Linked DNA regions of Coturnix japonica. The protein of the gene in region 6 interacts with the protein of the main gene of each other region in a pairwise test. Links are inferred from orthologs where the notes say so. Each region holds a gene or a part of one and is shown on either strand. Other genes may lie near its edges. The genes, in order: PDK2, TACC1, HOXC4, OSTF1, KLF11, HTT and MTUS1.

What was found.
Region 1: the proteins of HTT (region 6) and PDK2 interact in binary tests that used the Homo sapiens proteins (3 or more experiments, as listed by UniProt). The link is inferred for Coturnix japonica from reciprocal best matches to the Homo sapiens genes HTT and PDK2.
Region 2: the proteins of HTT (region 6) and TACC1 interact in binary tests that used the Homo sapiens proteins (3 or more experiments, as listed by UniProt). The link is inferred for Coturnix japonica from reciprocal best matches to the Homo sapiens genes HTT and TACC1.
Region 3: the proteins of HTT (region 6) and HOXC4 interact in binary tests that used the Homo sapiens proteins (3 or more experiments, as listed by UniProt). The link is inferred for Coturnix japonica from reciprocal best matches to the Homo sapiens genes HTT and HOXC4.
Region 4: the proteins of HTT (region 6) and OSTF1 interact in binary tests that used the Homo sapiens proteins (3 or more experiments, as listed by UniProt). The link is inferred for Coturnix japonica from reciprocal best matches to the Homo sapiens genes HTT and OSTF1.
Region 5: the proteins of HTT (region 6) and KLF11 interact in binary tests that used the Homo sapiens proteins (3 or more experiments, as listed by UniProt). The link is inferred for Coturnix japonica from reciprocal best matches to the Homo sapiens genes HTT and KLF11.
Region 7: the proteins of HTT (region 6) and MTUS1 interact in binary tests that used the Homo sapiens proteins (3 or more experiments, as listed by UniProt). The link is inferred for Coturnix japonica from reciprocal best matches to the Homo sapiens genes HTT and MTUS1.

Annotation. Positions count from the first base shown.
Region 1 is NC_029542.1:2,597,587-2,601,871, reverse strand, and holds the start of PDK2 (pyruvate dehydrogenase kinase, isozyme 2), read left to right. Parts: upstream 1-1,485; 5' UTR 1,486-1,570; coding exon 1,571-1,592; intron 1,593-2,221; coding exon 2,222-2,363; intron 2,364-3,427; coding exon 3,428-3,499; intron 3,500-3,658; coding exon 3,659-3,843; intron 3,844-4,285. UniProt on the Homo sapiens protein: Kinase that plays a key role in the regulation of glucose and fatty acid metabolism and homeostasis via phosphorylation of the pyruvate dehydrogenase subunits PDHA1 and PDHA2.
Region 2 is NC_029537.1:3,754,999-3,759,282, forward strand, and holds the start of TACC1 (transforming acidic coiled-coil-containing protein 1), read left to right. Parts: upstream 1-1,484; 5' UTR 1,485-1,499; coding exon 1,500-1,711; intron 1,712-4,284. UniProt on the Homo sapiens protein: Involved in transcription regulation induced by nuclear receptors, including in T3 thyroid hormone and all-trans retinoic acid pathways. Might promote the nuclear localization of the receptors.
Region 3 is NW_015439867.1:81,566-85,097, reverse strand, and holds HOXC4 (homeobox protein Hox-C4), read left to right. Parts: upstream 1-1,452; 5' UTR 1,453-1,545; coding exon 1,546-2,101; intron 2,102-2,692; coding exon 2,693-3,015; 3' UTR 3,016-3,032; downstream 3,033-3,532. UniProt on the Homo sapiens protein: Sequence-specific transcription factor which is part of a developmental regulatory system that provides cells with specific positional identities on the anterior-posterior axis.
Region 4 is NC_029547.1:33,132,675-33,136,672, forward strand, and holds the start of OSTF1 (osteoclast-stimulating factor 1), read left to right. Parts: upstream 1-1,198; 5' UTR 1,199-1,361; coding exon 1,362-1,395; intron 1,396-1,690; exon of another isoform or gene 1,691-1,782; intron 1,783-1,787; coding exon of another isoform or gene 1,788-1,798; exon of another isoform or gene 1,799-1,879; intron 1,880-3,998. Other genes in the region: NMRK1 (nicotinamide riboside kinase 1), read right to left, coding at 1-31, 1,788-1,798.
Region 5 is NC_029518.1:88,047,091-88,051,386, forward strand, and holds the end of KLF11 (Krueppel-like factor 11), read left to right. Parts: coding exon 1-602; intron 603-2,268; coding exon 2,269-2,591; 3' UTR 2,592-3,796; downstream 3,797-4,296. UniProt on the Homo sapiens protein: Transcription factor. Activates the epsilon- and gamma-globin gene promoters and, to a much lower degree, the beta-globin gene and represses promoters containing SP1-like binding inhibiting cell growth.
Region 6 is NC_029519.1:74,584,380-74,587,879, reverse strand, and holds part of HTT (huntingtin), read left to right. Parts: intron 1-299; coding exon 300-476; intron 477-694; coding exon 695-771; intron 772-1,922; coding exon 1,923-2,061; intron 2,062-2,543; coding exon 2,544-2,666; intron 2,667-3,500.
Region 7 is NC_029519.1:56,734,800-56,738,299, forward strand, and holds part of MTUS1 (microtubule-associated tumor suppressor 1), read left to right. Parts: intron 1-1,151; coding exon 1,152-1,256; intron 1,257-2,312; coding exon 2,313-2,360; intron 2,361-3,500. UniProt on the Homo sapiens protein: Cooperates with AGTR2 to inhibit ERK2 activation and cell proliferation. May be required for AGTR2 cell surface expression. Together with PTPN6, induces UBE2V2 expression upon angiotensin-II stimulation.

The DNA.
Region 1 (4,285 bases), on a different chromosome or scaffold from region 6:
CCTCCGGCCCCGCTCTCACCCATTATCCCCCCCCCAACCCTCCATCCACCACCACCGCTTTATATTGACGTTCTTTCCTCTTGCCCCCCCCCCCGCAGTGTGACTTCTTCCAGCGGACCCGCTATTACCGGGTGATGCCCAAATACCACGCGTTCGGATCCGGCAGGAGCAGCGTTATCGCCCCCCGGCCCCAGCGCAAGAAACACTGGGTGGACGAGCTGGCAGCAGCCAGGACAAGTATTACTGACACCCCCCCCCCAACCCTGCACCGCCCCCTCCAGCCCCCACCCCGATATGGGGCTGTGGGGTGACTTTGCACAAGCACAGCAGCAGCATCGTTGCTCCATCCCTGTGCTCCTTGCACACCCCTTGTGCCTCTTGCACGCTTGGAATGGGGAGGGGTCCTCATGTGTTGCCCCCCCCCCGTTGTGTCCTCCTGAGTGCCTTCCTCCTGCTCCTGTGCTGCCGCTCCCCCCCCCCTTCTATGGTGGTCCACCGCCACTGTTGCACATGGGGACACACTCATTGCCACCCCCCCCCCCCCTCGATGCGCCCCCCAACCTTTGTCTGTGCTCTGGGTTTGGGGTGCCCCCCCCCCAGCTTTACTCGTGCCTTCCTCCTGCCCTCCTCATCCTGCACCTTCAGCCCTTGCTGGGGGGGGGTAGGTGCACATAGGTGCACAATGGAAGCTTGCCCCCCCCCCCCCTTCGCTCCTCAGCAGCTGCAGCCACTATGGGGGGGGCTTGGGGGCTTCACCCCCCCCCCTCCCCCATCCCTCACAGCTCTGGGGGTTAAATTATTCCATGTCTCTGTGCGTTCTCGTGTCAAGCCCCAGAGTGGGGTCGGTACTGGGGTTTGAGGGGGGGGGGAGGTGTCTATGAGCCCCCCGCCCCCCCTTCGGCCATGCTCACGCCTCTGCTGGGCTAATAAAGCCTCGCTCTGGGATTTCTAACCTCTCATCTGCCCCGTTGGTTTTGCTATATGGATGGAATAGGGGGAGTAGGGGGTAAAAAAGGAGGGGTGGGAAGGGCAAGGGGTGCCCAAAGGGGGGGGGGGGGGGGGTGATGGTACCGGGGGGGTGATCCCTGAAGGGAGAAGGATGCTGCAGTTGGCATGTGATAACAAGAGAGAGCGCCCCGTGGAGTGGAGGGGAATCATGCGGTGTGTGCGCGGACCGGGCGGCTTATACAGTCGGGAAAAAGGCGATGGGAGTCGCCAGGCCGAAGGGGTTAATGAGCGCTGGGCTTCCGGGCACGAAGGGGTTAATAAAAAGGGGCGGGGTTAAACGTCGGGGGGCGTGTCTAATATAGGGGCGGGTCCGACGGCAGAACGGACGCTGATGGTCCGGAAGGGCGGTGACTGATCAGGGCCGTTGTTATGCGGCCCGACGGGGACGCCGTGGGCTTTGAGGGGAGCAAGCGGGCGATCGGGGCGACGAGGGGTCGCGGGGGGGGGCTGGGGCGGCCATGAAGGGGACTGCTGAGGTGCCTGGGGAAGCTCGGGCGGCCCGTGGGGACCGGGTGCCACACGATACATCGAGCACTTCAGTAGTTCTCGCCATCGCGCTTTCATGAAGCAGTTCCTGGATTTCGGTCGAGTGAAGACCCCCAAGCTCTGCCCACGACCCCCCCCCCAGTAAGAGTCGCCGATGTCATATGTCCGTTATGTATGTCCGGTCCGTCTGTCCTGTCCCCTCTGCCCTGTAAACAGCTGCTCCGGGGTGGGGTGGACCGCATTTAAACGGCCCCCCCCCCCACTCGGAAAATGGACACGCCCCCCCCCCCAACCAGTAGGGGGGGTCCCATGTTGGACCCCCCCTCGCAGTGGCTGTCCATATATATACCCGTATTGCTATGGCTGCAGGCAGGGGGTCCAACCCTCTTCTATGCCATATGCCCCTCCCAGGTCCCTTCCCTGGGTCTAATTTGTCCCCCCCCCAGTCCCCGTTCTTGGGGTCTATGATCGCCCCCCCCCCCAGGTCCCCATTCCTTGGGGTCTATGTCGCCCCCCCATGGGTTGAACCCCACTCTGATGGCACCCATCGTTCCCATCCCCTATAATCAGGGGCACACTGGTTATACTGGGCTGTACTGGGCTGTGCTGGTCCCCTCCTACCCCCCCCCCCATCCCCAAGCCCTCAGTGCTCCCTGTACTATAAGGGACAGTGGGGGGGGTTCAGCCTGTTTCATGGCTGGCTCTGACCCCCATATCCCCCCCCCAGGCTCCAGCAATGCCTGTGAGAAGACCTCCTTTGCCTTCCTGCGGCAGGAGCTGCCCGTTCGCCTCTCCAACATCATGAAGGAGATCAACCTGCTGCCCGACCGAGTGCTGCACACCCCGTCCGTGCAGCTGGTGCAGAGCTGGTGAGTATGGGGACATCACCCCCCTGTCCCCTATAGGGGTCCGGTCTCATTGCTACCACCTATGTGCCCCCATAGGTCCCGCTAATGTCCCTTATAGGGGTCCAATCCCATTGCCACCACCTACTGTGTGCCCCCATGGGTCACAGTGCTGTCCCCTATAGGGGTCCGGTCCCATTGCTACCACCTATGTGCCCCCATGGGTCACAGTGCTGTCCCCTATAGGGGTCCGATCCCATTGCTACCACCTGTGTGCCCCCATAGGTCCCACTGCTGTCCCCTATAGGGGTCTGATCCTATTACCACCACCTGCTGTGTGCTCCCATAGGTCACAGTGCTGTCCCCTATAGGGATCCGGTCCCATTGCTACCACCTATGTGCTCCCATGGGTCACAGTGCTGCCCCCTATAGGGATCCAGTCCCATTGCTACCACCTACTGTGTGCCCCCATAGGTCACAGTGCTGTCCCCTATAGGGGTCCGACCATTGTCACTTACTAAACGCCCCTATGGGTCCCACCCCTGTCACCAGGTGCCCCCATGGATCCCATTGCTGTCCCTGATGGGGTCCAATCCTATTGCCACCACCTGCCTGGTGCCCCCCTGGGCCTACATTGATCCCACTGTGACTTCTGTCACTGCTGCCCCCCCCCCAGCAGGTCCATGGGGTGCTGGTGGGGGGGGTTGACCCAGGGACAGGACATAGGAATCCCATAGAGCAGCACCCATCTCTTACCCTGGGCTGACAATGGCTGCATGGGGACGTGCAGGGGGGTCCTCAACCAAAGGGTGCTGCCCCATTGTCCTGTCCCTGCTGTCCCCTATGGCTGGGGGGGCTGTGTGGTTGGGGGGGGGGGTGTTCCTTTAAGGTCGGTGCTGGCATCCTGGCCCCACTCCCAGCTGCCATGTGACGAGTTGTTTGTGTCCTCAGGTCTGTGCCAGCACTGCCAGTGTAATGGGGGGGGGCATGGGGGGACAGCAGGGCCTGGCAGTGCCCTTCTATCAATGCTTATGTATGGGGGGGTGGGCACATTGCTGGGGCTGTGGGGTGACCATCTCCTCCCCCAGGTACGTGCAGAGCCTGCTGGACATCATGGAGTTCCTGGATAAGGACCCTGAGGACCAGGCCACATTGGGGCAGTGAGTGTGGGGTGCCAGCGTTGTGACCCCCCCCAAACCCCCATAGCATCACCACAACCCCACTCTGGATTCTCTCCTATAGGATAACCCAGCCCAGATCCCAACCCAGCCACCCACACTGGCTGCCCTATGCTTCATATCACCCCCCCCCCCCTCCAGGTTCACCAACGCTTTGGTCACCATCCGTAACCGTCACAACGACGTGGTGCCCACCATGGCACAGGGTGTCATTGAGTACAAAGATGCTTATGGGGACGACCCGGTGTCCAACCAGAACATCCAATACTTCCTCGACCGCTTCTACCTGAGCCGTATCTCCATCCGCATGCTCATCAACCAGCACAGTGAGCATCCCTGTGTGCCCCCCCCCCTATATTGTGTGTCCCCCCCCCGGTGTCACCCCCACCAGCACTGGGCATCCCCCGTGTATCCCTATAATCCCCCAATGGTCCTGAGCATCCCATTCCCACCCTTGCTGTCCCCATTGGTTCTGGATGGCCCAGTCCTGCTCTGGGTAGCATCTCTTGTTTCCCCCAATGCCCCCCCCCCCCACAAGCCATTATGACCTGAGTGCCCCCACCTGGACACCCCCTATTTCCTGACCCCATAATCCCCCTACCCCAATGGTCCCTATTACTCCCAAGCATCCTGCTGCACCCCCCCCTTCCCCCAACCCCCATGTGCCCCCCCCCAGGTGTCCATACCCCCTTAGATGTCCACCCCCCCCAACCCCTATGTGTCCCCTACCCATGCCCCATCCCTATATCTTACCCCATATCCATCCCC
Region 2 (4,284 bases), on a different chromosome or scaffold from region 6:
AGGAGGGCTGCGGTGCCGGCAGTGCCATGGATGGTTCACCCAGCACTGCCTGTCCTGCTGTTTTCCTCTCCCTGCTCCGGGAAGACACGCCAGATATTACAAAACATCCTTTTTCCTTTTGCTCAGGGTGCGCCGAGGTCCCCTAACGACGACGCCTGGCCCTCCCCGCCCCGTCCATCCCCTTCCTTCCTCTGTGCTCCTTTTCCAGGCAGCAGCTTTCCGAGGAACTCCGGGGACAGGTGGCAGAGAGTGACGGTGCTGGGACGGATCTGTGCTGGAAAGGTAGGAAAAAGAAGGGAGCTGAGGGCTGAGTGCTTGGCAGAAGGATGGAGGGAGGAGGAAGCAGGGAACGAGGTGTCCCCGGGCAGCCTTGGTGCGGAGATGGTCACAGAATGATGGTCCCCAGCAGCCCCTTGTGGCAGCTCGCCCTGCTGCCCGCTCTCGTGGTGCTCCCACGTTCTCTGCATGCGCTCAGTGTTGTGGCTCTGTTTACGTTGCTAAGGAGGAGCTGTGTGAGCACCCTGGGATGCTGCGTGCCGGCGTGGGCACATCGGGCTTCGTGTTGCACGTCAAACTGGGTGATGAGTTGCTGCTGTGGGAGCCTCACTGATGCTCTCTGTGCTCTCAGACCTGAGAAAACGGCAGCAGGAGGAGGGTTTGGGCACAGAGTCCCTGCATCAGGGCTGCTGAAGTGGTAACCCACCAGTCAGGCAACTTACAGCCCAGTGCTGCAGCTCTGGGTGGGTTTGGGGCAGTGCTGTTTGGATGGAAGGCTCCATTGAAGTATTTAAACACAGCCATGTGACAGCCACAGCTTTGAGTCACCGTCCTCGGAAACCCCAATGGAATTCTGCCCTGGGGTGGCAGCGAGGGCTTGCAGTGCCTCCTTCCCAGGAACATGGAAATTTCCATGGGATTGGCCTAAAGCTGATTATTCCCATCTGCTGCCCCTCAGTCAGCAGCCAACCAACAGAGCCGAGCACACAGTGTGGGGCACATCACCCGCTACGGGGACAAGATGTGCTGTGCATCACGATGGGCCCACGGGGCCCTGGTGCCTTCCTGCAACCCAAGCACGCCAGCATCAGGCTGGTCAGGAGACTTTGTTTTCATCCAAGGAAGGTTTTCTTTATAGCTTTCTTTTTTTAGGAAGGTGAAATCTTGCAACGGTGTCAACACTTTTCTAGCTGAAAAATAGCACAACCCAAACCAGAGCACTAAGGGAAAAAAAGGAAAGGTTGAATATGTGAGTTTTTCTCAGGGCTCCGTGGGCGTTGGATGCTCAGGTTGTGGGTGCGACCTGACGGTGCTGTGCTGAGGCTGCGGGTCCAGCAGTGCTGCCCTGGGTTGTCAGCTTGGAGCGCGGCTTTGAGTGCCGAGGGTAGATCGGAAAAGCAGCTCGTGGCTGCACGGAAAGAAAAAGGAGTCAGACAGACAGGCAGGAGCCGTTCCCTCTCGGTACAAACTCGTGGGGCAGATTCCCATCGGCGCCGGGTCGGATGCCGCCGCTCCGGGTCCGCCTGCGGTGCGGTGCCGAGCAGAGCCGTGCCGTCCACTCCCCCGCGGAGGCGGGGACGCCGTCGGGGCCGGCACAGCGCAGCGGTAGCTCGGTCCGGCCCGGCCCGGTGCTGCCCCACACGACCCGGAGCTGCGGTCCCGCTATGGGGGCGGCTCAAAGCCAGAAACAGCGGGACGGCTCCGCCGAGCGCCGGTGAGTGCGGGACCGGGGGAGAGAGAGAACCAGACCGGGGCTGATCCCGGTGCTGGGGATGCCACTGCAGTGCTAAGGGGTAGAGTTTGGTTTGGAAACTGCAGAGCAGGAGGAAAGTGAGAATGGAGTGAGTGAGTGAAAAGCTTTCCTTTCCCTTCCCTCTTGTCTCCCTGCTTTCAGTGTTCCTGACAAAACAGGCTGTTTCCCGTTTGTTGTCAGCACACTGAGTTTCTCGGGCTGCAGCTCACCCCTGCATTGCATGGCATAAATCACAACGCGAGGAGCCAGGAGTGCAGTTAAGAAAACAAGGTGTGGGGTTTGGAGCTGGAAGCTGGGCTGTAACCGGGAGTGCTGTGAATTACCGACGGAGTTTGGGAGCTGGGAACAAAAGAAAAGCACGCTGAATTGTGATCAAAAGGCAAACCGGGGAGGCTTATCTTAAAATCAGCCCGAACACTTAATGGAACACAGGAATGTTTGCTCCCACTGAGCCGCCCCGTGGTGCAGAAATAACTGCTCTCGGGAGGTTTGCTGCTGTTCTGCTCAGCTGGAAGGCTCTGGGGGACCTGGAGGGTCCGCAGTGCTGCAGGTGAGCGGGGAGCACCTGCCCTGCTTTGCTTTGCTCCGGAGCTGTGCTGGGCTGTATGGAGCAGGTGCCCTCTGCTGCTCCTCTGAATGTTTGCAAACATTCCTCTGTGAACAGAGGGAAAACAACTGCAACAGGGAAAAACAGGAATGTTCTGTCCTCTGCTGCTCCGCAGCCCTGCCTGTTATTTCCTTGTATAGTTCTACTAAGTTAGAGGTGTTCCCAGGCAGAAAAACCCAAGGCATTGTTCCAGGGCTGCACTGGAGCAGCGCTGGGATGCTGCAGGGCAGCTGTGCTCCGTGCATGGACAGCAATGTGGAGATGCTGCCCGTGTTTCACAATATCTCCAAGTCTGAACTAAAATCCAGCAGCCTGACAACCCCCTGATAAGAGCATTCTTGCCACATAGCAGGGATATTTTTAGCAAAGGAGTGGATAGGGTGGATAGGACAAAGCCAGGAGGTGAAGGAAGGTGCTCGTGTTCATACAGCATCGGTCAGAAATCACAAGTGAAACTCACACATTTCAGGGCTGTTTCTATTGAATTGTTTTGCATGAGCTCATGTCCACACGACTGGGATCAGTGAGATGAAGCCCTGCACATTGTTTGCAAAGCGCAGGACAAGCAGCGTGCTCCTTTTCGCATCGCTCCTTTTGAAAGCAGCCATAAATGCTTGCACTCATTGGCCTGACAGCTGCGTGGTGGGGAAGGACAGCTGGAGCTGGGGGGCTGCTGGTGCTGTCAGGCTCATATGTGACAGTTGTGTCCTTCACTGCTATTTTTACACAGCTATTTTGGTGGAATGTGGAACGATGGGAACTGTCACAGGGATGGAAACCTGGGGCTGCTGCACCCTGGTTGCTCTTTTTCCCTCCCTCTGCGTTTTCCCAGGGCCCTTTCTGACTTAGGCAGAGTTCTCCTTGGCTGGTCTCCCAGCCCAGGTAGGTGAGCTGCAGATGAGAGTCATCAGCATTGATCTCTTCAGCATCACTGCACAGGTCAGGGAACATATTACAAAACAACATCCTCCCTAGCGTTTGCAGGACAGTCCTTGCTGGGCTATACAAAGCTTTGGGTAGTTTTCCTCATTCCCAAAGTTGGCATTTTCACAAGGTAATGGCCTGTGCTGAGCCCAGGTGGGGTGACAGCAGTGACACAGGCTGTGTGCTCAGTCTGCCCTTCATTCTGCTTGGAGCTGCTGGCAGCTCTGTTTGGAGCAGGTCAGCATCCCCTGCAGAGATGCATCTGCAGGCTGTGCCCGAGCCATAGTGTGACTGATGCAGTCAGGTTATCTCCTCAGCAAATGATTTGCAGCCAGTGCTGCTGCCAGGCTGGGTTGTGCGCCAAGCTGGAAAATGCCACTGGAGGCGATTTCAGTATTGCTCATTGCAGACAGCAGGTGGAAGCAGGCTCTGCTCGTTAGCTGCTCCCAATGAGCATTCATCTCACTGACCCCACTCCTGCTCCTTCCTCTGAGGCTGCTGGGAGTGGGGCCCGCTCTGTGTGTTGGTGCACAATGGAAGGATGCTGCTGATTTCCTCCATTGGATGTTGCTGATTTCCTCCCACATCCCCCGTACAACAAGTGGGTGCTGCTGCAGCAGCAGCATCTGTGCCATGGCTGATGCAGATCCCTGTGGCAGAGGCATCGTGCTCCCACTGCTGCTCCTCTGCCCTTTGCATTTCAGTTTGCTCCGTGGCATCCCTGCAGCTGTGAGCCGCTCTATGGCGCAGCAGTGCTGTCACTCCAGTGGAGTCTTTTGGGTCAGCAGCGATCTGTGAAGTGACTGATGGGAAGGGGAGAGGGAGGAGGAGGAGCTGAGGCTGCAGCCAGCTCTGCTGCAATGTGCTGCGTGCTGCCGTTCACAGGCTGAAGAGGCTCGTTATGTAAAATTCATCCGCAGAAATCAGCCCTGCTGCTTCAGATGGGGGGGAAGTGGCTGCTTGTTTCTGCTCGGCACAAAAGCAGGCAGGAGGATGTTGAGGT
Region 3 (3,532 bases), on a different chromosome or scaffold from region 6:
GGGGGGGTAGGGGGGTGATGGGGGGAGGGGGAGGGGTGATAATAATCGGAATAAAATCCCATTATGACTTTTCATCTCCAGCAGAAGCAGCAGCCACCGCAAACACAACTCTCAGCCAAGAGCACAAAGAGCCCCGACCATTTCGCGGTGACTGATTTATGGCGTTTTACAACCCCATAAAAAGCTGTAACAACCAGCCAAAAGCCTTCGACACCGCTGGCACATTTAGTCTAATAAATAAAACATAAACAGTTAACTTTATGTGTCACTTTTATTGTTATCAAGTAAAATATGGCAATGCCCTGCGAGCGATGATTTTCAGCTATAATTGTTATCAAGCGCGAGGAGGGAATACCCCACCTCCTTCCTCTGCCCCTCTCTTTAGTGAGAACCATAGATAAACAGCTCTAATTGGGGGAGCTCCGACCCTCCCCAAATGTTCACATCCTCTCGTTGCTCCCTAACCTGCCCGGGGTTGACGCCTGGGAGCCATTTTTAAAGCATCTCTTATGGTTTTATCTCCCCCCCCCCCACTATCTCCCAACCAAACCCCCTCCCTCATCTTCCGACTCCTTCACCCTCGATTTAAAAGAGACCCCAAAGAGCTTCTCCCCTATGGAGGGCGAGCAGGTGAGCTCCCATCACGAGGGCAAAGCGGCTCCGGGCTGCTCACACGCGTGTGTTGCACACGAGTGGGTGTGGGGCTGTTCCCCCCCCATACACACGCATAGAGCCCCGTGTGTTCTCTATGGGCAAAGCAGTGCCCCCCGCATTGCCCCCCCCCCACGACACCCCACTCTGCTCCTAATCTGGGGAGCACGATGGGGTCTCCTGTTTTGTAATGGGGGTCCAGATAGGGGTTGGGGGTTGGGGGGAGTTGGGGGCTTCTCGTGTCCCTGAGGGTCTCTGGATCACAACGGAGACCCCAAACCCGGTGAGGTCCACACTCCCGCTCCTCCATCCCAGATCATTCGTGTACACAGCCCCCCCCCCCAAAAAAAAAGAGGAATAGGTGCTGGTGGGGGTTAAGCCGTTATACAGCTGAATGGAGGTGGATGGGATGTGGGGGTGGGGATAAACCCCCCCACCCTCAATGTCCCCATCGTGCCCTGTCCTCTCCTCGGAATGGAGGTGATGGACAGAGAGAGGGGGATGGGGGTGAAGGGGGTGGGGGCTGCATGACACACAAGTCGGGGGGCTGCGAGGTGGGATGGGGAGGCAGCTCCCTCACCCCAATGGGGGTCCCGTTGTTCATCCCTCCCCTCTATGGGGGAACACTCCGCTGCCCCCACCCCCCACCTCAATGGGGTCCTCCATTGTTCCCACACCCCACCCCCTCCCAACGGGGACCCCCAACGGGGCCACCCCGCATCTCCCCCCCTCAATAGGTCGCCCCTTCTCCCCGAGTGTCCCCTTATCCAACCTCCCCCCCCCCCCCCCTTCCCCCCCAATTCTCCCTCCCCCCAATTTAGGTGCATTTTGCAAAAGCTTTTGGTTCCTTATCCGGGGACTGGGCTGCCGGGTGTGATTGGCCGGGGGAGTCACATGGTGAAAGTAACTTTACGGGGTCGCCAGCTAGTAGGAGGGCTTTATGGAGCAGAAAAACGACAAAGCGAGAAAAATTATTTTCCACTCCAGAAATTAATGACCATGAGTTCGTATATGGTGGACTCTAACTACATCGATCCGAAATTTCCTCCATGCGAGGAATATTCGCAAAATAATTACATCCCAGATCACAGTCCGGAATATTATAACCGGACAAGGGAGTCAAGCTATCAACATCACCACCCGGAGCTGTACCCACTACCACGACCCTCCTCCTACCCCGACCGCCAGTTCAGCTGCGGTAGTATCCAACAAGCTCCGGGCAACCCGGCCGCGCACCAAAGGGGACACGGGCAAACTACAGGAGGCCAACAACACCTCTCAGAGAAAGCACAGCAGCTCTGCGAGCAGGCTGCTCTATCCACCACCACCACAACTACTCCTTCCCCAGCCCCTCCAGCCTGCAACCAGCCAAACCCCGAGCATCCTAACAGCACAGCATCCAAACAACCCATAGTGTATCCCTGGATGAAAAAAATCCACGTCAGTACTGGTATGCAACTTTTATTTTCCTCTTTCTGTCTTCCTCTCTCTCTCTCAGCTCTCGTATTTTCACACCGTGATCTCTCCCTCCCTCTCTCCCCCCCCTCTCTCCATCCTCTCCCCCCCCCCCTTCCTTCCTTCTCTCTCTCTCTTTTTTTATATCCTTCCCTTCCATGAGAGGCTTTGGGTTAGCACAATTGAACTGGATTTACGACTCCGAATGGGTAATTACACCCACCATAAATTTTATAGCCGAGCTACTGTGGGCAGCCTCAGCCATGTGGTTCGTTCTGTTATGTATGTGTGAAACTCCGAAAGCTTTGTAAGGGGTGCATAAATAATTCAGTCTTTTGAGCCAGGGAAACCCCTTCCTATTAGAATAGAAACTCTCGAGCTGCCCAAAGTTCTTTATTACCTTTTTTAGCCCATTACTTTCTTCTCCCGGCTCCTCCGCTCTCCTCTCTTCGCAATTCCCCCTTTCCATTCACGCTAATTTCTTCTTTATTTCCTTGCTTGTTTCTATTTACCACCCCCCCCCTTCTCTCCTCCTCCCCCCTCTATTTTCCCCTTTTTTTACCCCCCCCTTTCCCCTCCTTTCCAGTGAATCCCAATTACAATGGAGGAGAACCCAAGCGTTCCCGGACAGCCTACACGAGGCAGCAGGTTTTAGAGCTGGAAAAGGAGTTTCACTATAACAGGTACCTGACCCGAAGGAGACGCATCGAAATCGCCCATTCCCTTTGCCTTTCGGAACGGCAGATCAAAATCTGGTTTCAAAACCGAAGGATGAAATGGAAAAAAGACCATCGGCTTCCAAATACGAAGGTGAGAGCGGGTAGCGCTGCCCCCGGAGCCCCCGCAGCCCCCGCTCCATCCGAAGAGCTGCCCCCACCGCGGGACCCGGAGGATATCACCAGGTTATAGACCCCCCCCCCCCTTTAACCCCCACCCCCCTTCTCCCCTCTTTCAGCCCATGGGCTGTAGCTGCATGTCGGGTAGCATGAAACCAGGTGTCGGTACCTGCGGGTTTCTTTTTTTAAGGCCTTTTTCAGGGTTTTATTTATTTTTTCAAGCCGGGGAAGGTTGGGAGGTGGGGGGGGTGAAAGGGAAGGAAGAGGTTCCATTGAGATGAATTGAATTGAAGGATTTTGGGGGGGGGTAATAGCGACGGTAAAAGGAATTAAAATAGGGCCGATGTCGGTGCGTTTTCCCCTCTGCGTTACGGGCTCACAATGAGAGGCGAAATCCTTTTGTAGGAAAGCGAAGGTTGGGAATTAGGGGGGGGGGGGAAGAGGAAAAATAAGGTTAAAAAATAACAAATAATCGCTGTAAAAATCGAGGTAAAACGAAAGGAAACCCGTAACACAGAGAGGAAAACAGAGGGGGAAGGAGGGAGAGAAATAGCTGAGAAATCGGGGTAAAAAAAGGGATAATAAAAGAG
Region 4 (3,998 bases), on a different chromosome or scaffold from region 6:
TGCTTGTTTTCTCTTCAGTTCTTCCTTTACACTGTCAAAAACAGAGTCAGAGAAAACTCTCAAATCAGAAAAAATAACAGCACTTATTAAGACATTCCAGCCTTATGTAGTATTATATACTTGTTTTCTGTCTTTTTTTCCCCCATAAGCCTACTGTCAGAACCACAACTGCTTGTTCAAATGCTAACAAAACCCTCCAACACAGATGCCGCATTACAGATTTCTATGCGTTTTACCTAGGTCAGTATTTGATGACTTGAGACAGACCTTGAGAGATTCAATTCTACCACTGCTGATAAGCACAGAAGTACCCGGATAAAAAACACAACCCCAGCTCAATCATTAACAGTATCCAAATGTCTGGGTAAACAGGTGCTGAGGTGGAAAGACAAACAAACAAAAAGCCAATTAAAATAAAAAACAAATACCAGTGTTGTGCTGAGGGAAGAAAAATGTTTCAAAAATCCAGTAACTCCCAAATTCCACCATTCACTGTATGTTTATGGCATTGGCTGTCTGTGTGGAGCCAGAAAACAGACTACCTGCTCTCAGGATATGATGAAACATGATCTGCAAAAACCCCACTGCTGTTTTCCAACCAAGCTGTCACTGAGGTTTGTGTTCTGGGGGATTAGCCTTTGTCCCACAAAAACTCTGCAGCACAACCCAAATAACATCTGGGCGCACACACTGAGCTTTGGACTCAACTTACGTCACTGGCTATACAAAACTTTATCCCAACCAACCCACCAACTCTGCCTCCCTCAGAACACAACGTAGAACCCAAACTGCGAGGGCAAACTGGCCTCCAGCGTTGCAGCACACAACTCCAAAGTTAACTCGGCCTCTTTAAAGGGCCGAGTGAAGTTCCACGACAGTTCCCTCACAGAGCTGCCTCGGGCTGAGCATTAAACGTGCGACGACAGCATCCAAACGAGCCACCCGCCCCAGGAGCTCCCACACGGGAGGAGCGGACCCGCGGGACCCACACACCCAAACAAAGCCCACCCCCTACCGCCACTAGCCGTGCTCCGGCTGCCCAGCCGTCACCCGCCCTGCGGTGCCAGCTCCGCCCCCTCCGACACAGCGCGGTCCGATTGGCCGCCCTCCCTTCCCCGTGATCTTCCCACCGAGGAAAGGAGAGAGAGGCGAGGATTGGCTGTAGGGTGTTTCGGGCTGCTGCAGCGATTGCCGCTGCCGCTGTGGGGCGCTGCGCAGGGTACCGGCGGCCGCCCGTCCGCCCCCTCCCTTCCTACCCGCAGCTGTCGCCGCGCACCGTGCCCAGCAGCCCGGAGCGGCTCGCCCCGCTCTGCCCCACCGCCCCGAGGCACTTGCGCAGCTCGTCTGGTCCCGCCGCAGCCATGTCCAAGCCACCGCCCAAGCCCGCCAAGCCAGGTAAGGGAGGGTCCCCAAGACTAGTCCCCCCCTCCACCTTCCCCTCTTCTCCCTGTCAGCGCGGGGCCACCGTGGGCGCGGGCGGCCTTTGCTGGCTGACACGTGGACAGCGGGAGAGCGGGGCTCGGGCTGTCAGAACCGGCGGCCCCCGCCTCTCCCCGCCCCGCCGCCATTAACGTCGGCGCCGCCCGAGCGCTGCGGCGCGGGCTGCGGGTCTGTCCTCGGGCACACCGCAAGGATCTTCGTTTCTCAAAACTCATAGCGAATCGCAGGGTCTTGTAAAAACACTGCTGACCGGGTTTAGGAGCACTCAGTGCGTCATCATCCACCTTCTGCTGATCTGTTAAAGCCTCAGAACTTCTTCCAAGTAACAGTTTCCTCTGGTATCTCACCCACTGAGCATCTTTCAGAGTTGACCTGAAATAGGAAAAAGGCAACGATAGGAGCCCCGACGCTGCAGTTGCCCTCTGGGAAGGTGAATGAAGTGCTGTGTGGGCTTCCGGGAGATGAGAAGGGTGTGGTGCTGCTTTTAGCAGCCAGATATGCGGGAAGAAGCTTTTTTTTCCAGTCCTCCGATTTGCAAAATGATTGGTTAGGTTTAGGGTAAGAATCTTGCAAATTTCAAGGATTTATACTGTTCAGCCTTGCGGAGTTATCAGGCAGGCTAGATGTTCTATGCCTAATGTTGGGCATCCCCAGCCTGGGCAGGCTGTGGTAAGATGCAGGTTGCTGCCAGACAGACAGGCTCGCTGTGCCCTCCCTGTCACTTTGTCCTTCAGTGAGGTGGCACGGCAGTCTGCTGGTGCTCTGGCACTGCAGGGTTCTGCTCATGTTCAGGTTATTTTCATGTTTTAATGAACTTGCTGATCTGGTTTACCACATGATCACTTGACACAGCAAAAGGAAATGGGTGGAAATAAATGGCTGAAGAAGAAAGAGGAAGAGGATAAGACTTTCTTAGTAGTTGCTCATAGGGGTCACGAAAGTCATTTTGTGGAGTCCCTTTTTTGAAGAAGGAATGTCTTTACAGATGCTATTGTGGAATATTTTTTTTCCCAAGTCATTTTCAGGAAGAGGCAGCCTTCAGACTTCCTCCAAAATATTTTGTCCGTCTGCCCTTATAAAACCAGTTATGCTTTTAACACTGAATTTCATTCGGGTTGTAGACATTAAAGCGTACTGAGTTAAAGACATAAACGTGGAGTCTGTGTGTGCTGAAACTAGAGTAGCACAATGCTCTATTTGTTACTAACTTATATGCTTCACGTGGGGAAACGTCTTCTTGGTTCATTTGCTGAAGTTATGTTATTTTTTCTACACTGACTGTTGTCTGGTATTCAGTCTGTAAACCGTCCTGGCTTTTTCACAAAGCAGCAATCTGCTTGCCATGCCGCAATTCAAGCAGGTAGAAGGAAAAATAAGACTTTGGCTGCTGTAGTCCTTTAAGAAATGTTCGGGAAGAAAACGTACAAACTACATGGAGATGGAAGGAGATAGAGTTGATGGCAGGGAACTGTGTTTAGTGTTATATTCATTTCTGAAACAACGAGCGCATTCCTCACTCTACTGGTGAAGATTACAGTTACATATGAATGCCCAGACAGTGCCTTGAAAATGTGCAAAACAGGATGTGCTAAGGGAAAAATGTTAAGTATAGCAGTGAATGGGGTTTTCTTCAGTACATGCAGGATTTTTATTTGATAGAAGGCTCTTTCATTGTAATAATCTGGCTGCGTGGGCAGTGCATTGTGCTTCATCTATGAAGGAGAAGGCTTAGATATCAATAGATTCTAGAAAATCATCTAATAATGTTTGTCAGCTCTCAAGCCTGTATTCTGGGGCCTGTAGTTAGCCCTTGAGTAAGAAGGCTGTGAGTGTTTTTCATGGCTTTGGGAAATTTTTAATTTCTAGTGTTCCAAGACTTTCCTTTGAAACAAGCTTCTCAATTTGCTTTTCTGCAAGAGCTTTTTGTACTGGTTTGAAAGCTTTTTCTTCTTTCCCTATTCAAACTTGCCATTGGTGATATGGAAGAGTGAAGTGAGAACTGAAAATAATTGAAGCTTTCTTCTAAATCAGCATAATGCAAGAGTAGGATTTCCCCTCCATCCTTCAAAAGCTCTATTGATATCTCAAACAACATCGTTCTTTTTAGAGTTCATTAACCTCCTAAACATTCTGTGTCTTATGTTAATTCTAATTACAAAAGTTACTCAAGTCTTTTGAACCTGACAAGCTGCATTGACTCCTGTTAGTTGTCTCCTTGAATAATGGTGGTTATGCATTTTTGGCTAAGGCCTTATAAAGTGTGCAGTAAGAGCTCTTAGGAATCTGGAAATTCTCTTTTTTAAGAAAACAAAAAAAAAAAAAAACTTTGTTACTTTAATGTTCTCCAGATAAAGTAAGGTTTGTTGATCTCGGGCTAAGGTCCACAAAACAGCCAAGTTTTAGAGAGAAGGACCAGTCTTTGAAAGAAATTACAGTTTTAAATGATCCCAGTTGAGAGGAAGTGAGGAAGGAGGAAATAGAGTATGTAGCATAAAGGGACGCTACCTTAAAGTACGTCTGTTGCCTTTGCAGTTTTCTAAGTTAAGAGAAAAATTCTC
Region 5 (4,296 bases), on a different chromosome or scaffold from region 6:
TGCTGCCGATGCTTTAATTAACAAGGCCTCCCCAGTGCACCAGCCGTGTGCGGCTGACTGCAGTGATGTGGTGCCCAGCAAGGCACAGCTTCCAGCCCGACCTGTTTCTCCACAGACCCACTTACCAAAGAGTTGCGAGGATGACTTGCAAACAAGAGCTACCCCAGTGACACCGGTCCCTGTGTCGAGCCCCCAGGTCCTCTGTCAAATGATCCCTTTGAGCGGACAGAGCGGTGTGATTAATGCCTATGTCAAACCTTCAGCTCCAACCATCTCGGCTCCCATGAAACCTATTTTACCGCAGACAGCTCCGCTTTCTCAGCCCGTGCTCGTGGGATCTTCTGTGCCTCAGGGGACCGTCATGTTGGTTCTTCCACAGACTGCTGTCGCACCGACGCCGCAGTGCCCGCAAACAGTAATGACTGTTGGGAACACCAAGCTCCTGCCCCTCGCTCCTGCCCCCGTGTTCATCGCTTCTGGTCAAAGCTGCGCCCCCCAGATGGACTTTTCGAGACGGAGGAATTACGTTTGCATCTTCCCCGGGTGCAAGAAAACCTATTTCAAGAGCTCCCACCTCAAAGCCCACCTTCGTACCCACACTGGTGTGTAACGTGGGGTGAGCTGTCGTTGGGGTGCTCAAGGGTGCGTGGCAGCGGGTGGGAAAGGAAAGGGGCAGGTGGTCAGGGATCTTGTGCTCATCTGGGAGAGGAGCAGAATGCTCATTCTCCACGGGCAAGCAAAACAAAACAGACTTTGTTCTGAGACCTCAGCCGACCCCGTAGCGTTGGTTGAGTTTCACATGCTTTAGTTGGAGCAAAGCTTTGCCCTCTGTGTGCATGTGTTTAGATTGGAGTGGAACTCTGCCAGCTGGACTGGATTGCAGAGAATTGTGCAAGTCTTTATTTTGAGCGTGGAGGGCTCTGGTGTGAGCTATCCACAGTGCAGGTAGTTGTTCTTAGTTTGCATGTGAATGAAAGAAAAGGAACATTCCAATACGACCAGTACCACTACGATTAGAATTCCTAGAGTTTTGGCCAGGCTAAATAGGTGTGTGTTAAGATTTTGGGCCACAGTGTTAGGAAGTCGAGCTCCTGCAGGGATGTAACTAGTTTTACGTTAGGTAACTGTAAGTTAGTTATAATCACTGTGATTTGTTCCATAACATCTGGTTAGCATAGAGGCAGTGTAAATGTGCTCTATCTGTTCTCTTTTCAACTCTCAGATCCCGTTAAATCAAAACTAAAGGCTGAGTTCTTGGCAGGGGCTGTTTCTGATGTTGAGGAACGAGCACAGCAGGTGATTGATAAAGAAGAGCTCATCTAAATGTCTTCATTTGTTTTCCCTTTGCTTATTTCCGCCACCCTCTGTGGTTCCATGGCAGGATGTGCACCAATTTGCCAGCTTGTCTGTACAGTTCCTATGAGAACAGAGCTTAAGCTCTGTATGAAGCTGATAATCCTTGTAAACTGGAGCTCAGAGGCAGAATGGTGGTTCTGCTTCTGGTCTGTGGCAGCAGACCTCTCCCTTGGCACGTACTGCTGCTGACCCACCAGGGAAGTTGTGTCTGCTATGATGTTAAGATGAGCACCCGTGGCTGGGGAAGCACGCGGTCCCATCACTTGCCATCCTGCTGTGCAGCATCAGTGTGCAGAGCAGCAGCAACTTGCTTTTCCTGCTTCATCCCACTCACTGAGCAGCTATGTGGGCATCGTGCACACCGAGCCTCGCTTGCCATCTGCAGTAAGAACGCAGCTGCTGTGCTGCATCTTTTCTGCTGGACTTTTTGTTTGACTCCAAAGAGTTTCCCAGATTGATGGTAAAGAGTAGATGTTTATCTTGTTTTTCTTGAGGTCTATGGGGGCTGCAGTCAGCAGATGACATTGTTTAGGACGGGTGTGATGTTAAGCAGTCATCCAGCACGAGAAACTGCTGCTGAAAGCCTTCCTGGCTGCTCTCCTTCCTTGGCATCCAGAGCTCCTGTAGGAGTCTGGGTCTCTGGGCACGTGGGCTGTCTGATGTGTTGCATGGGTGTGCAGGTCACTTGAGCAGGAAGGGATGGAGGGAGTGCTGCAGGGAGCTTGAAGTCCAGCTTTTCTTTTTACCCACAGCATTTGCTCATGATGTGTAGTGCTCATAGAGCTGTGGCCACGTAGGAAGGATGGTCTCAGGGATCAGGTTTTGGTGAAGTTGCTTTTCTTTAAACAAAAGGACACAGCTCTGTGGTAAGACACAGCTTAATGGGAGCTCTCTTCCTTTCACATTCCACAGGAGAAAAGCCCTTCAGCTGCAGCTGGGAAGGCTGTGACAAGAAGTTTGCCCGCTCGGACGAACTGTCGCGGCACCGCAGAACTCACACGGGAGAGAAGAAGTTTGCCTGTCCCGTGTGCGAGCGGCGCTTCATGCGCAGCGACCACCTGACCAAGCACACGCGGCGCCACATGGCCACCAAGAAGGTCCCCAGCTGGCAGACGGAGCTGGGCAAACTGAACAGAATCGCCACGACCGAGAAACCGAAAGGCAGCGGCGCTCTGAGTATGCTCATCCCTGTGCCATCCGTCTGCCAGGGCAGCGGGACAAAGCACCTCCTCTAAACTTACTATGAGTCGCACAGAGCTCTGCTGGCTACAACAGGACTGACAGCACGGCCCTCTTCACCCCCTCAGCGTGTTTGTTTGTACATACTTGGGTTCCCTTCATTGTAGTTAATAATGCTAGGGGAGAAATGGATGCTGTGTCCTCATCCTTTTGTTTGTGTGTTGGATGTTTGGGCGGATGCAATCACCAGCACTTCAGGAAGGCAGGACTCTTTTGAAATGATTTTGGCAATAGGTTTAAACAAGTCAATAGGTTTAAACAAGTCAACGCGCATTGCTTGCTGTTAATATTTGGATGGACAGTGCAACAGGGTGATTTTTAATTTTTGATACTAGTGTTTTCTATACCAAATATATTTTGTATTTATTCCTTTGGATCTTTGTATGCAGGCTGACTTGCCCTGCGTTAGTAGAGTTGTGCAGGATGAAACCCGGGGCTTTGGGAGCTGCTTTCCTGTAAGCCCAACCAAATGCATTCGGTGCATTGTGTGAGCGTGTAATGCTCAGAAATGCGGTGCTGGGGATTTCACGCTTCTGGATTCTGGTCCTGCAGTAGATGGGTGCTGTTAGATCCTCCTTGTGCAGCTGCCGTTGGATGTTGGATAGTTTGAGATAACAGCGAGCTCAAAACCAACCCAACAAAACCACCCTAGAATGACTTTCAGAAATGAAGTGTTGGAATCCTCAGCACTGCATCAGTTCATGCTTATTGCAAGTGGAAGCTGTTGTGGCTACTAGGAAAGCTTGACACACTGCGTGTTCCTGGGTCCCCACTCTGCCCAAGCAAAGCACTGGGGAGCCAGGCTGCTCTGCTGGATGTAGAAGCACAGATGCTGTTCAGCAGCTTTGACACTAAAAACGACGCTTTACTTTCAGCCCCACAAAATCAGAGTATTAAAGTCTACTGAAAGGTAGCAAAAATGGCAGGATAAGGTGTGAGCAATTAGCTGGGTCCGTGTTTGCATTTTGTTTTAAATACAGGAGAAATAGAACATGAGGTTTACGCATTGTGGATGCTGATGCACCTCATAGAAAATTATTCCAGGCTTTTGATGACCCGCATCAAAGCACCAGGACAAATACTGGTCATGTCTTAAGAAACAGCCACCTTTGTCAGCTCGATGATGCTCTTCACGTGGCCTTACACTTCACAGTACTTTGTATCAAATCACCCTTTTCTATTAAACGAGATGCTCTCCCTCTTGGCTGCATTTTCTTTTCACACCACGTGTAAATGTGACTGAGGAGTGAGATGGGTGGCTGCAGAGCTCTGTGCTGTGTGCTGGCTCAGCAGCCCTTGTACAGGTGGGTATGTGTGTGCTGTGAGGTGCCAGCTGCTGTTTTGCTGGCCAAATCTCACTTGTTATGAAGTGTTTCTATGGTGTTCACCCTCCGGGACTCATATCTTCAACCTCTCCTATATTGAACTTATTTGGGTGCTGGACAGGGACTTGTTATTTTTCACCTGGATGTGCAAAATACAGGTCTGTAGGGATGCACTGATCTCCTGCATGGCTTTGTTCTAAACACAGGCCTTGTTTCTCAGTGTGGGCAGTGTGCTGTTCTCATTTAGACAGACTTGCTGATCTCAGCACTCCCCTGAAATCAGCAGGGGCCTTTTGCAGTTGAAAGCTGAATCTGTCATTCTTTTTTTACACTTAGCTCTGTAGTTATAATTAATGGTAACAAGTTTTTGGCCCGC
Region 6 (3,500 bases):
TCTCTCTTATTGTTTATGGACAAGTCCACTGCAACTGCTTTAGTGCCCTAAGCATCTGAATAAAATGTTTTTAAGCTGAGATAAATCTGAGCTATAGCATGCTTGTCTGAGAATAGGTAAAACTAAGTGTGCATATTTGAATGAAAGCTGTAGTTCTGTGAAATACTGGTGAAATATCAGTCAAATTAGTAAAATTAAAACACCTAATGTACACAGTCTGCTTTTAAAACTCCTATTTAACCCTACTGCCATCAGTGTTAGATACATAATGTTCCCTATTTGTGTCTTTCAACATTTAGCCTACAACTCTGAAGAAGACTTTACAGTGCTTAGAGGGGATACATCTCAGCCAGTCTGGAGCGGTCTTGACATTGTATGTTGATAAGCTTCTTTGTACTCCATTCCGTGTGCTTGCTCGCATGGTTGACACACTGGCTTGCCGTCGGGTAGAAATGCTTTTGGCTGCAACTTTACAGGTAAAGATAAATACATTTATCTGCAAATCAGTTTGGGTAGTGCTAGCAATAACAGTCAAATGTAAGTGTTTAAATTAAAGTTATTTCTGTGGAAAAATAAGGCTTTATATTATATATAGATATATGAGTGACTGCATTTCACTTTATCTGCATATGAATCTCATAATCTGTTCTAAGTACATATGTGTATTTTACTTGTTTTCTTGTGACTCCTATAGAACAGCATTACTCAGTTACCAGTTGAAGAACTGGATAGAATTCAGGAGTATCTTCAAAACAGTGGATTAGCAACAAGGTAATACCGGTACCTGTTAAAATATCAAGTTAAGATATTTTGTAGAAGCAATTATGATAGCTTTGAATTTTTTTTAAGCTAAGATAGCAAATCCTGTTAAGAGGTGAAATGAGTAAAGCATCATATAAGGTCCTTGCATGTTTTAACTCAAAAACAGTTGTGTTGGATGAGTTTAATTCTTAAATGCATTTTACAACTTCAGGAAAGCTAAAGGCTCAGAGATGTCAGACTCTTTCTACCCCAACCCATTAAAATATTTAACTTTTAAAAGTTACCTCAAATTAATTTTGGCAAAAATTACAAACTAAATTGCTGTGAAAACAACTTTATTTTCCTCAGATTTTGTCAGCTCCAGCTGCTGTTTTTTTCATTCACTGGTTTAATCTCCCTGTTGTTTATAAGTATAAACTGCTATTATAAAAAAGAACAAAGTGTTCAGTCCTTTCAAAAGCCTTATTCAATGATGGGAAGAGTAATTTAATTCTCCTGATGTCATTGCTATCTGAAATTCCTATCTATTGACTAACATAGCAAATAGAAGCGAGGTAAAGAACATGAAGCCTAAGAGCAGTAGATTGATAGCAAGGTGCTTTCACTTAAGAGATTTAATTTAAAAATATAATGGTAGTCAGAATCTCCAAATGACTTTTACAGTACCACTTTTGATAGCAGTACTGGAATCAGAAAAATACAAAATAGAAAACATTGATTGTAGTGACTTTTAAATCCACAAACAGAAATTCTTAAATATCTGTTTACTTCTATGCCATTTTGTTAAAGTGGATTCTTGTTTGGTATCTGTTAGAACGTAGTCATTTGCAGTCAAGTCTGTACGTTAAAATTGATTCTTATTCACTAAAAAGGTGTGCTACTTAAAGAAATGGAGCAGCTTGCATTTTATGCATAAGCATGTACAAGCTTAAAGTCTGAATCAAATCTTCATTATTGGTACTACAGAACTGAATTTTTTTGTTCTACTGGTAGCTGATGAATTTTGCAGTTTTATATCATGCGGATGAGCCAGCAAAAATTTTATGATCCTAGTTCTATTCTGTCCCAGTTATGAACATTAGTTCACTGGATGAGTTTCTTTTTTTAAATGCTTTATGAAACTAAGTTAGCCCTTTGCTGACACTTGTTTTTATTTTCAGACACCAAAGACTTTACTCACTCTTGGATAGATTTCGTCTTATGGTGGCACCGGACACAACTAGTCCTTCTCCTCTGGTTACCTCTCACCCACTAGATGGAGAAGACCAACCAGGTTTAGAGAATGTAATTCTAGATAAAGTAAGATGCTATTTAGAAATGCCTTGGCTCAAAAAGTATTCTTCCTATTACAGAATATTTGATAACAGCTTATTTCTAATATGTTCTTATAATTGTCAGTGGATCTCAAATAGTGATCAGTGAATGATTTCATGTATTAGCTGTTAGGCTAAAGATTAATAATTAGAATGTGCGTGCATATTTCTTATAGATATGGTGCCATGAAAAACTATCAGCTTTTTTTTTTTCTCTCCATAAAATTAGGGAAAAGATTTACAAGAAGGTTCAGACGTATGCTGTCATCTGTTTTCTTGATGTGTTTCCAGCAGTGATCATTTTTATTAATTTGTTGATTGAAAATAGCTTGTTGTCTCTTTTTGAAATTCTGTCTTTTATATAATTAGATACATTTATCTCAGAGCACTGATGGCCAAGAGGATTTTGAGGTCTTTGTTTAATTTTGTGAAAATATGTACTGAATTTATTTTCTTCAATTATTAAAGGACTGGTATATGTCACTAGTGAGGTCTCAGTGTTGCATCAAGTCTGACTCAGCGCTACTAGAAGGTGCAGAACTGTTAAACAGAATTCCTCCGCCTGACCTGAACTCGTTCATGAGCAGCAAGGTAACTTTTCTGTCTGATGGAAGAGCATCAGCTGAAGATGTTGTATTAAATTGTTTCTGATATTCTAGTGGGTAGTATTAATAGATTAGATTCTTAAATACAAGTATTTCAGATTTATGTAATACTAGTACTTCACCTGTTGGATTTTTGGATTTCATTAAGTTTGGGAAAATAAAATACTGAATGTTCTTTGGCTCTGTCTAGCGATGTTGCTAATAGTTTTCTAATCGTACAGATTGTGTTTATGGAGTTGAAGTGAAGTGGAAGTTCATGTATCTGCTTTTGATCATCTATACTAGGTCACTTCTCACATAGCTCTCATGACACAGATGATGAATCTGCAATGAATCTACAACTGGGTTTATTAAGAGCATAATTTGCTCAAATACTCTACAGTAAGTTTACTGTTGGCATGCAGAAATGATAGCAGGAAGCTATTTTAAAAATATTTTATACTTTCTCATCTTGAGGAGAAATGAGTAGAATTCAGATATAGATCCTGTGGAGTCAGTGCTGAGCTACACCTTTCAGACTTTTTAGAGTTTAAGATTCAATTTACTAGAGGTACTTTTGGAGGAAGCAAAATGTTAATTTAAGCTAAATCAAGACATATAGTTTTATTTTCGAGCTTATTTATTTCTACTAATTTTTCTTTAAAGAGAATAAAAATTCCTGTGATGTCTGTGAAATGGGTCATGGTATTGGTAGTTCGTTTTTGTTTGGACTGTGACTTGTCTGAATCTGCATACCAAATAACTGATAGAGCTTGCACTTTTCAACCCACCGTTAACTAATATTTCTGCTAAATTTAGTATTTTGGGCTGAATTGCTGTT
Region 7 (3,500 bases), about 18 Mb from region 6:
GCATAATGGGAGCAGATAAATAAGCTTGTGCTCTCTGTCCTGTAAATCCTAGTTATAATCAGCTTGCTTCTGACCATCTTTGTGGTGAACTGGTTATTGTAATTGGATAAACCTAATTAAATACAATGCTTCTGCTTTAGGCTTAAGTTTTAAGCCTGCCAAATGTCATGCTATAATGACATGCTTTAAAATAGTAAACAGTGATAAGAGGCAGATATTGCCAGAAACTGTAAATCACTGAAACAAACAAAAATTATATGACTACCTGACAAGCCAATGCTTTTTATGTCAGGCCCAGGATAAGCAATGAAATTATTCATTGTTCAATCACTTCAGTGATCTGGATGCTGGAAGTGTGCCTTCAGCACCTCCAGGAGCGTTAAGGCCAGAAGTTGGTGTTCTCTCTCTCCTTGGTGTTTGTGAAGCTCCACCTTGACTGATCTGTTTTGGGGTCTGCCCTTTTCAAGAAGGTTATTCGGAAACAGAACACTTGGGAACAGTGTTGGAGCACATGGGTTGTGATGAGAGGATGAGGGAATGAGGCTTATTTAGGTGAAAGGAAGAGTAGGGGGAGGTATTGTAACAATCTACAATTACTTGAACAAAGATGATGACACCAAACTCAGTAGTACCAGATAATGTAGCAGTAATAACAAATTATGGAGTGGGAGACCCAACGTTTTGGGAAGAATTATGAGGAAAAGTAGTACAGGTCCACATTGTCCAGGGCCATAGGATCTCCATTCCTGGAAGTTTCCAGGACTCATGGCCAGCTAAATTCGTCTTGGTGATGTCAGCCTACCATCAGAGCAGGCGTCCATAAGTCACTTTCAGCCAACTTTCCTGTAGCTGTTTTGTTTGCCACTGCTTAAGTGACTTAAGTAATACTATCTTAGTGCTAAGGTGAAGTCTTTCCTTTCTTAAACTTCTCCTAATAAGCTTTATTAAAATTATATTTTATTGCTTCAGTAGAGAGTTCTGCTAAAAACAAAGTTGAGTTTAAATGTAGCATTCCATTTTATAGAAAATACCTCTTTTTATATTTATTTGAGTAGTCTCGTGCATCTGGTAGTGTAAATATGTGATGTTAGGCATGTCTTTATTGCTGTCATGGCTGTACTTTTAAATCTGATGTAAGTCTCTTCTTCTAGGAGCCAAGGCCAGGTGTGCTTCTCTGAACCAATGCACGACAAAATCATCTGGGCCATTGCACTCAACAAGGAAAGTCAGTGAGGCTAGAGGCAGTCAGTTATTGGGTAAAGTTACATTTTCAATTATATTCTTGTATCTGTTCATCTTGAGAAAGAGGAGCTATGCTAAATAACTTGAGCAGTTGAGACTGTCAGTCCATTCTTTTCATGCATAGTTCACAGTATTAGAGATAGGCTCTACAAGATATTCTGTATATATTTATTTATCTGGACGTAAAAGACAATGTACTTCAAGTACACTGCCTGCTTCAAACTTGCATCTAGAGTAATATGTACTTAACTTTGCATTTCAGTGTCAAATACTTGCTTTATCTTTAGTATTTAATTGAAATTAGTCATTTTTAAAATTAGTTTGAATCAAAGAATAAATTTGACTCCTCAGACAAATTAAGTAATAAAAGATTTTCAATTTGGGAGTAAATATGTACTTGCAGCATTCAGGTCGAGGGAAAAAAGTACGGTTGTGGTACTAATCTTATTGATAATACCTACTATGGGGAAGAAGACAGCTGAATGTGATAGTTGTTGTAAACAGACCTTCTATAAACTTCTGCATGTAACTTTCGTGCTTAAACCTAGCAAAAAGTGTTTTCCTTAAATTGATATCCTTTAAAATAATGCAGCTCTTAATTCACTTTTCACCTAACACAAAAACAATACAGGAATTGTAGATTAACCCTCTCACCATTTTCATTTATATGTAACTTGATTAGGTACCTTTTTGTACCTGCTTTATGTAAATAAAGTTACTGGAGTATATAGCTGGAAAAAAACTATGATGCTGCTCATATGTGTAGTTACTTTTTGTTGCCTGTTTTTTATTCCATTTTGTTCTTTTGTTTAAGATAATAAATAAACAGTGCTACCCAGCTTAAATGAAGTATGGTAACTGAAATAGAAAAAACGTTTGATAGGAATTCATTTTCCAAATAATTTAACCTTTTTCATACCAAATCTTTCCTTTAAACATGCAATCAATCCTAAAGATGAAACTAAAACTACCTATATCATGAGGAAATTATGTACAAAGAGATACAAAAGTGCAACTCTCTCCTTTACTGACTTGAAGCATAATTCTGCTTTCTATTCTGTACATCATAGGTACTCCTGGAAAAAACAGACAGCAGAGTTTGTCGGTTTATGGTTCTGGTGAGTTCTCTGGAAGTATTTTTACGTACTTTGAAGTGGAACTTAAATTTGATTTACACATTATATTAGTATATTATATTTTTTCTTGGAAGAATAGTTTTGCAACGTAAATTCTGTAAACCATCGCAGATTCTGATTTCAGTTGATAGAAGGTGAAGTTTTGTCTACTTAATGTCTTCTGGTTACCCGGTTTTTAGAGTACGCAGTCTGTTCTGTCTGTCATTCTCTTTTTCCAGTGAAGCCTAAGAAGGTTTTAGCACTAACAACAGGAGGGGGAAAAAAATGTGGTAATGAAACTTAGATGTAGATTTTGCTGTTTAGCCTAGCTGAGGTAATTAATGATTACAGCTTATGTGTTGTGGCTTTAACATAAATAGTCATGCAGAATAACAGGTTTTTCTGGAAGGTTCGTGGTAGCTCCCCTATTAGTGTCAGCTGTCTGTGTTTCTGTCACTGGAGACTACACTTGAAGATGAAATTATCCAAACTTGTTAGTGCATGTGTCTGCTTGGATGGCAAGGGAGGAGTGGCAACTGATTAAGTGGCAGATGGTGTTCCAAAATCTGGTGGAGTTCATGGACTTCATCTTGTATTTGTTTTCAGTGGTCATGCCAGTCAGGGCACCTGGTGCTAGTTTCTCCCTGCTGGAAGAGAGAGAGAGGCCTTCAGATTGCTATTCACAGGAATTTCTAGGTCTTTTTCAAGAGAACATGCAGTCAAAATTAGTTTTCTGAGCATCATTGAGTACGTGCTAAATTAAAAGAAGCTTTTAATTACTGAAAAGCTTTTTTTGAAAGATAGTGAGGTTCACTGGGAGGGAAGCCCTGTGTCCCCTGTGAGTGAGTAGCAGATGTCTTTCTCAAAGACGTGCTGTAACTAATTAGGTGTTATGAATTTGAGCCTGGAACTGTGGAGTGAAACTATTCTGACCTGTCACTTGGGTACTGTGGTAGTATGTTTTTTACTAATTGCATGCATGTGAGTTGAATGTTTTGCCTTTTACTGTTTTGCTTGTCAAGTGTCTGACTAGCAATTGTGACCGAGTGCTTTGCTTGAGATCTCTCATTATTACAAGTCAGCTCTTTGCTCATATAACAAGACAAAGTGCTTATTCTGTTTGTTACTCTTACTGATATTTGC